2 linked regions of the Macaca fascicularis genome follow. Each later gene encodes a partner of the first gene's protein in a complex. Links are inferred from orthologs where the notes say so. Each region holds a gene or a part of one and is shown on either strand. Other genes may lie near its edges. The genes, in order: ARVCF and HNRNPH2.

Region 1 (4,609 bases):
AGGACTATGAGGTCACTGTGAGAAGAGGGGCTCCAGCAGAACCAGGGTCCAATGGCCTTGGAGAGATGGCTGGGGACAGCTGGACTCATTACGTCTACTCCTAAATGGAGGAAACGACCCCTCAGCTATACAGCACCTGAGCCAGAATGTCACCATGGTGCTGCTCCACAGGATGACAGCTACCTGGCTTGTGAGGGCCCCTATTCTAGGGACAGATATTTCATTCTGCCCTCCCAGAGCAGCAAGCAACAACCCTATGCCAGGAGGCCAATTGGCACATGAAGTGCCAGCTCCAATCGATTGATAGTAGCTGCCTGGCTCTGAAAGGTAGCTGAGATCGATTCACCATGCTGCCAGCACACAGATGGACCCAGCGGTGGCTCCAGCAGTGAGTCCTTGCCTTGGGCCATTTCATTTTCTTTGTCCTGGCCAAGGAATGATTGGGTGAACACACGGGACTCCCAATATGGGTGGAAAAGACAAGAGTGTCTGGTCACACCCCTCCACCACCCATGAGCATGGTTGTGGGCAGTTTGCTTCCCCAGGTGGCCTTGGGGAATGCAATGAGCTGAGGAACTGGTCATGTCCAGGTGCATCCAGGGCAGGAAAGGCTGACAGCATGCATGAGCCAGGGTCACTGGCCAAGAAGTCATCTCAGGACCTCCCCCTAGAAAAGCCCACTGAGCAGCATTCCTGCTGGTTCCCCCCACACCACAAGGTTACGCGGAGCTGGCGGAGAGTCATGCTCCCACTCATGTCAGGTACTCTCAATCTGGAGAGGAAATGCAACCATGCCAATCTCAACAGGCAGCGAAGCCGCGTTTCTTTCTGACTCCAGGTAAGGTGGAGAAAATGGGACAGCAGTACGGGGGCATAAACGCACAACTCCACTTCCCCAGACGGAGAGCTGTGGGGCTGTGAGGATGCCAGGAGGAGGTAATAAAGGCGGCCCCATGGGGGACCTGAAAGGTGGGACAAGCCTAAGAGGTCTCCACATCCAGGCCTGGTGGGGGAGGTGAGCCCCTGGTTTACAGAAGGGGTCCCTTCCTGCTCTCGGAAATACGGCAGCCTACCTCCACCGCCGCCCCGCTCCGGGGGCCCAGGGGCGGTGAGGGTGAGAGAGTCCCCAGGCCCCAGGGTCAGACGACTGTGTTCAAGCAAGTCAGAACCTCTCTGAGGCTGTTTCCCAACTATAAAATGGGATAGTGGCAGAACTCTCCCTCGCGGTTTGCGTGAGGAATACAATTCGATGTCGACAGGAAGGCGCGGCGTGCACCGCGCAGCGCACAGCGAGTAGCAGGCGCTGAAGAAGGATACCTGTGAACTGGGGGTGGTAATGGAGGCTACGCGGCCGGAATCCGGGGAAGGGCCGCCGGCCCTACCAGTCCCTGCTCGGGGCTGGATGGTCGGGGGATGTTCTCGTAACTCGGCTGGGAGGAAACTGCCCCGCTTACCCGGCCACTACCACCGCAGAGGTTCGGGCAGGTGCCGCGGCCTCGGCCCCTCCGCGAGGGGGCCGGTCAGCCGCCGGGACTGACATCCCGAAGGCCCAATGGAAAGCCGTCATCTCCACGCACCCGTCCAATCGGCGCCGGTTGCCGTGCCGCGCCGGGTCTCTCGACCAATGGGGAAATTTGCGGTCAGATGGGGCGGGGCGGAGTTCCGCGTCGCCGGCCCGGTCCGCTTTGCACACGGGCCGCGTGAGGGCGAGAGGGCTGGCCCGGGGTCTCGGGTTGCTTGCTGGGTCCGGAGGGAGGGGGCGGCCCCCGCACCGGCCCGACTTGCGGCCCAGTGGACGGCGACCCGCGCCGCGCCCCGCCCTGGGAACGCCGCACCCCGCGCGCCGAGGGACCCGGGGACGCCCTTCTGGGGTCTGGGGCCGCGCTGCGGAGCCGCCCACGCTGCGCAGCCACCCACGCTGCGCTCCAGGTAAGCTTGAGCCAGTGGGCGGGGTGCGGGACCTGGGGCTGGGGCAGCGGGTCTGAGCCGGGACTGGGGGCGGGGCTGCAGATCTGGGACGCGTTCCGGGCAGCGGTCCGGACTGGGTCTTGTACCCGGAGTCGAGATTAGGGCGAGGGTCTGGGCCGGGCTTCGGAGCCAATCTCCGCCCCACCCGCGTCTTGTCCGTGCGCTCTGCGGCGCCGGAGACCTCGGGCCGGGGGAGGGGGCGGGTCCCTTTGTGCGCGGTCTCCGAGCCCTACTCGACCCGGCCGGGTGCCTTGCATCGAGCTCTCCAGCTGAGCGTGGCCCGACCCCGCAGCCGTGTCCGCCCCGCGCGACGCTTGGCGCCTAGCTGCCGGGGCCCTGCGGCCACGGAAACTTTCCAACGGCCCGAGGGGCGGCAGGCCGGGAACTTTCCTGGGGCAGCGCGCCGCCGGGAAGCGCAGGGGCACCGACGGCCCGGAGGGATATCCCCGCGCCGCGCTGCTCCTGCCGCCTCGGGGGTGAGCGAGGGCACGCCACCTGGATTCCCGGCCTGGGTCTCCCTCCCCACGTCGCCCTGCGCCCCCTCGGGGCCCGTGCAGAGCATGTCTTCTACACTCTGAGGGAACCTCTGCTCGGTTTGCTGGGGAGTCGCCCTGGGCAGATGGCGTGAGATCTCCAGCCTATTTTAATTTTTAAATAATTAAATATTGGCTGCTTATAAAATTTCACCGTTTGTTAGCTATGTGTAACGTAGCATACTTAAAATGGAACCAAAGGACTTCAGCTCCCTTTCCCTACACCCAGGCATATTTAGAAATAAGGAAAATAAAGGTGCTCTGTGGGTGTTTTTTAAAGTAGGCTCTTAATGCTGCTGTCTAATAACCTCAGGTGGGTACCCACGCCGCTGTGGGGGAAGCCTCCTCTATGGTATGGGCCAGCGGGGTGCAGTGGGAGCCTCCACCTCTCCTGACCTTAGCTTCTCTGGGGTAGCTGCCTTTACTTCTTACTACTTCCTTACTACTGCCTTATCTGCCTTTGCTCTGGGATCCAGGCTGTGGTTAGAGATCTGGTCCAAACAGGGCGGGTGTTACCTGTCTTGTACTCACTGTATTGGAGTTGAGATGGTGCTGAATGCAGGGGCCAGTCAGCGCTCTCTTGCCCAGTGTGCCATGCCAGTGGCCAGTCAGTTCCTGAGCAGGTGATCCAGGCCTTAGGTCAGGCCACAGTGTGAACCACAGCGTGTCTGGGAAGGCATTTCCTCCAGTCTTGCCCCATCCTATCCACAATGTCTGCTCCCAACTGTCTCCTGACCCCACCCTACCCCCATTCTGGGGTCCACCAGGGCCCAGCAGAGAGGACTGGGCACAGAACATTCGCTAAGGGACTCAAGTCCCAGCTGAGAGGGTAGTTGAGCACAGCCAAGCCAGCCCCTGCCCAGCTCTTGGCTGAGCTGCCCTGTCAGACTTTTCTGCATAAACACAAGAACCTCCTGACCAAGGTCCCTCCTGGGAGAACAAGGTCTGACCCTCAGTCCTGCTAAATTTGAGCCTCCCCACCCACCACATCTGGGCTGCTTGGCTCCCGTGTTTGCTCTGGCACCCCTTCCAGAGGTGGCTCTGCAGTGTCCTCCCAGCCCCAGGGGCCCTCTGCATCTCTGTGGCTCTGTGAGCGTAGGGTAGCACCCCTCCTCCTGTTTGTGCTACTAGGGATTCAGGGTGAGTTCACTGTCACCCCAGGAGTCTGGCCTGGGGGAGCGTGAGGCTGTCCGGAGTGAGTACAGGAGGAGCAGGAGCAGCAGGATCCCCAGTCTCTGGGAGGAGCAGGGAGCTCTGCGCATGGATGCCAGGCACCACCCTCTGTCTAGCCCATCTGTCGTGTTCCCCACCTGGCCCTGGCAGAGGGAGTGACAGGGTTGAATTGGGATAGGGAGTCAGGGCCCACTCTGTAGATGGGGCCAGGAATGGAGGGTGGGAGTCTAGGGACAGCACTGTAGAGCACCAGGTGGGCCCTGGGGGTCCTGGGGACTTCCCTGATGGTGGCTTAGTCGTGGGGAGGTGTCTGTTCTTTTGCCACTAGCTTCAATTAAGACCAGGATGAGGCCGGTCGTGGTGGCTCACGCCTGTAATCCCAACACTTTGGGAGGCCAAGGCAGGCGGATCACCTGAGATCAAGAGTTAGATACGAGCCTGGCCAACATGGCAAAACCCTGTCTCTACTAAAAATACAAAAATTAGCCGGGCATGGTGGCATGTGCCTGTAGTCCCAGCTACTTGGGAGGCTGATGCAGAATTGCTTGAACCAGGGAGGTGAGGGTTACAGTGAGCCGAGATCACACCACTCTTCTCCAGCCTAGGTGATAGAGCGAGACTCTGTCTCAAAATAAAAACAAAAACAAAAACAAAGCAAAACCGAAAAAACCAGGATGGACTGGTCACGGTGGCTCACGCCTATAATCCCAACACTTTGGGAGGCCAAGGCAGGCAGACAGATCACATGAGGTCGGGAGTTTGAGACCAGCCTGGCCAATATGGTGAAACCCGGTTTCTACTAAAAATACAAAAAAATTAGCTGGGCCTGGTGGCACACGCCTGTAATCCCAGCTGCTGGGGAGACTGAGGCAGGAGGATTGCCTGAACCCGGGAGGCAGAGGTTGCAGTGAGCCAAGATTGTACCATCGCACTCC
Region 2 (3,930 bases), on another chromosome or scaffold:
CTAATGAATTCATGGAGGAGACAATTTATTTCCTTAACATAAGCCTGCTTCTTTTTTATGTTTTGTTTTTGACACATAATTGTAAGCCTACTTCTTTTTTAACATACAAAGGTGCCTTCTAGTTTGTGATGAAATACAAAGGATTATTTATTCGCTTTCACTTCTTTGGATTTTAGAGAATACTATCTTGGTAAGTGGCTCCAAAAGTAGCTCAATAGTCCTGTAGACATGGTAAGTTTTTTTAAAAAAGAAGAAAATGTTCAACTTTAATATTAATCAAAAAAATACAAATTAAAATTGCAATGAGATATCATTTCTCAACTAACAGACTGGCAAAGATCACAAAGAATAATGTGCATCAATAAGGAGGGCATAAGGGGGAAAATAAAGCACACACTCCAGGTAAAAAGATAAAGTACCAGAATCTTGCTGGTAACACAAATCAGAAGCCTTAAAAATGAGTATATCTTTGACTCAGCAATCCCATTTCTAGGGATATATCTTAGAAATAATTAATAATATATGCAACAATGAACATATAAAGATGCTAAATATATTGTTTATAATTTTAAAATTAAAAATTTTAATTTTGAGGGAATTATAAAGTCAATCAGCGTGCCCATATGACAGAACATAATAAAAATCAATCAGCACAAGATTTTTTCCAGTTTTTAAAAGGAAGATTTATTTAACAAGTTTCACTTAGTACAATACATCTAAATGGAAATCACAATACAAGGAAAGATTTAAACCAAAGCCTCAGAATTTCATACAAACAACACGACCAAACTTCTAAAGTATTGGTATTACATCTTAAAATTGTCCCGTATCCTTAAAAAAAAAAAAAAAAAAAAAAAAAAAAAAAAAAAAAAAAAAAAGTGTACACTCACGTGCCTTACAGGATATTAAACCAAAAAGCTAGAATTAACAAACATGCCAAATGTTTTCACTTTGAATCGTAGACACAGCTCCTATATTTGAGTTTTACAGAAAAGCATGTTTCTCAACATGCATCCGAAGTTTTCAATGTATTTGTGGTATAAGAGCAACATTTAACATAAGTGAAACTGCATTAACCTAAATACGCTTACTGCTTAGGTACACTCCTACAACATAACTAACTTGAGGAAAGCTAAAAATTGTTTTAACAGTTATGGTCAATACTGAACTTTGTTATTATGTCCTAGATGAATGTTTCAGTGTTCAAAATTACTGAGCTTGAAGTTTTAAAATAATCTCAACTTCCACTTTACAGTAAGCATGAATCACAAGCCTGTAATGCAAAACTGTTAAACTTAACTCTTGTTTTCTTAAAAAAGGAGAAAGAAAGATAAAGAAAGAGAAGCTGACCAAGAGTGATCAGAATCAATTATATTTCCCATTTACCAATCATACTGGATATACTAGACATCCCTCCCATTCTATTCAACTCCCACAAATGTACAGCTTTTATATATGGAGTAGCTGTTTGGTGCTCCTTCTCTACCTAAGCAAGGTTTGACTGATAGTCACTGGAATTTTCCTGCAGAACTTGGTCATATCCACTCATACTGCTCTGACCACCATAACCACCTCCATAACCACCACTCAGCTGCTGGCTAGCAGGACCTCCATAACTAGACTGGTTGGATAAGCCCATCCCTCCCATCATTTGGCTACCATAAGCCCCACCACTTGCCCCTGCTGTAGAATTCAAAAAAAGTTCTACATAGCTGTGATCGTAAGCACCCCCACTTGTTCCTGCAGTAGAATTTAAGAAGAGCTCCACATATCTATGTTGCATATTAGCTTTGTCTTTTGCCATAGCTGCCACAGCATCTTCATGAGTAGCAAATTCAACATCTGCCTCACCAGTAACTCTGCCATCGGGTCCAATTTCAATATGTACTCTCATGGGATTAAGAGGTGAGAAGAAATTATAAATATCATTCTCAGTGGCTCTGTAAGGTAACCCCCTCATGTGTACACAGTGCCCTGTGGTGCTCTGGAAACTGGACCCACCATCTCCATATCTATGATCAGACATTCCTGAAAAACAGTAATTGAGGTCTCTTCCAAATCTATCAGACCCAAAGCCATATCCATCATTATAGCCACCATAGTCATCATAGCCTCCATACCCTCCACCGTAGGCACCACGCCTCATCCTTTCAAACCCAGCTCCTCTGCCAATGCTATTATACCCTCTGCCAGCCCCCGGCCTATCATAGGGACCTGGCCGCTGCATAGCCATGAGCTTTCGAGGGGGATCATAGTGGGTTCGAACTTCAGCTCGGCTACTCTTGAAGATCTCAATGTACCTGTGCCCTATTCTTTCCTTGTGTTTCTTTAAGGCCTTCTCAGCTATCTCCTGCGAAGCAAACTGCACAAAGGCTTCCCCTGTGCTTCGCCCCTGAAAGTCCACTGGCAGTGTCATCCCATTTGGCACAATTTCCAACCCTGAAAAGAACTGAACAATCTCTTCCTTGCTACAGCCAAATGGGAGTCCTCTAAGCCGGACGAAGCCATCGTTGGCAGTATCAGGGCTATTCGGACCTGTATGCTTCAACACCCAATCCATTTCAACACTGTTAGACTTGAATACTTCAACGTATCTGTGTCCCATGGTTTCTCTGTCCTTCTTCAAAGCCAATTTCACTTCCTCTTCAGATTCAAGTTCAACAAATGCTTCACCACTTGGTCTGCCTTCTCTGGTGTAGATGAAACGAATACCTGATGTGCCATTTTGGATCTTGCAATCAGAGAAGAAGCGCATCACTTCATCGGCTGAGCAGGACCAGGGTAGGCCCCTGACCTTCACCACGAACCCCTCCCTGCCTTCCGTGCTCAGCATCATGGTGACTGTTGGGCTCTTGGTGGCAAGTTTGGCTCAATGCAATTTTAGTGTAGCTGAAAAAAAAAATTAGAAGACTACTGTCATGGAAAAATGCCCGTGATATAGTAAGATAAAAAAGCAAACTATTAATAGAAAATTCAACTATGCTGACAGCTTTTCTGTAAGATGTCTGTATAAACAAAGAGTTCACCAAATTTTTAACTCATTCATTTTTTAAGTTATTTATTCAATGCCTATTACATGTTGGATACCATTAAAAATTAATAGCAATCGGCCGGGTGTGGTGGCTCACGCCTGTAATCCCAGCACTTTGGGAGGCTGAGGCGGGTGTACCACCTGAGGTCAGTAGTACCACCTGAGGTCAGGCGGGTGTACCACCTAGAGGTCAGAGACCAGCCTGGCCAACATGGTGAAACCCTGTCTCTACTAAAAATACAAAAAATTGGCTGGGCGTGGTGGCAGGCGCCTGTAATCCCAGCTACTCGGGAGGCTGAGGCAGGAAAACCACTTTTATGTACCCAGGAGGTGGAGGTGAGCCAAGATCACGCCACTGCACTCCAGCATGGGCCACCAGAGCGAAACTAAGTCTCAAAAAATAAATAAATAAATAAAATAACATCAACAAATCAGTGGGATAGGTCAACAAATAAAAGATGGCTATATCTGAATATACACACATAAAAAACTTCACTAGATCAAAAGATTAAACAAAACATTAAAATACAAACAAAACACAGGTTATATACGTTCTTTATATAATCTCCTTATATACAAATGTATGCAAATCAATAAAATCAGGGAAATATTTGGGCTTCAGAGATAAATGAAAAAAAGACATTATTGGGAATTCACACATTCATTTTAGAAATATTTTTTAGTTGCCATGTCCAATACTCAGCTCTGGCATACAAGAATCAATAAGCCCAGAAAGGGCTTATGATCCTACAGGAGCACCAAATATCATTATTAAAGATGTAAATGCAAATATACATTATACTTGCCATGACCCTCTGGGTGGGGTATAAGCATAGTATCAAGGAGGGACTAGTTGATCAGTTCTATTGGTTGGAGGTCAAATGGTTAAATGAAACAGA

What was found.
Region 2: ARVCF (region 1) and HNRNPH2 share a complex: the UniProt entries of both Homo sapiens proteins name them as parts of the ribonucleoprotein complex. The link is inferred for Macaca fascicularis from reciprocal best matches to the Homo sapiens genes ARVCF and HNRNPH2.

Annotation. Positions count from the first base shown.
Region 1 is NC_088384.1:32,806,825-32,811,433, forward strand, and holds the start of ARVCF (splicing regulator ARVCF), read left to right. Parts: upstream 1-1,687; 5' UTR 1,688-1,929; intron 1,930-4,609. UniProt on the Homo sapiens protein: Contributes to the regulation of alternative splicing of pre-mRNAs.
Region 2 is NC_088395.1:108,081,335-108,085,264, reverse strand, and holds the end of HNRNPH2 (heterogeneous nuclear ribonucleoprotein H2), read right to left. Parts: intron 2,890-3,930; 5' UTR 2,837-2,889; coding exon 1,487-2,836; 3' UTR 659-1,486; downstream 1-658. UniProt on the Homo sapiens protein: This protein is a component of the heterogeneous nuclear ribonucleoprotein (hnRNP) complexes which provide the substrate for the processing events that pre-mRNAs undergo before becoming functional, translatable mRNAs in the cytoplasm. Binds poly(RG).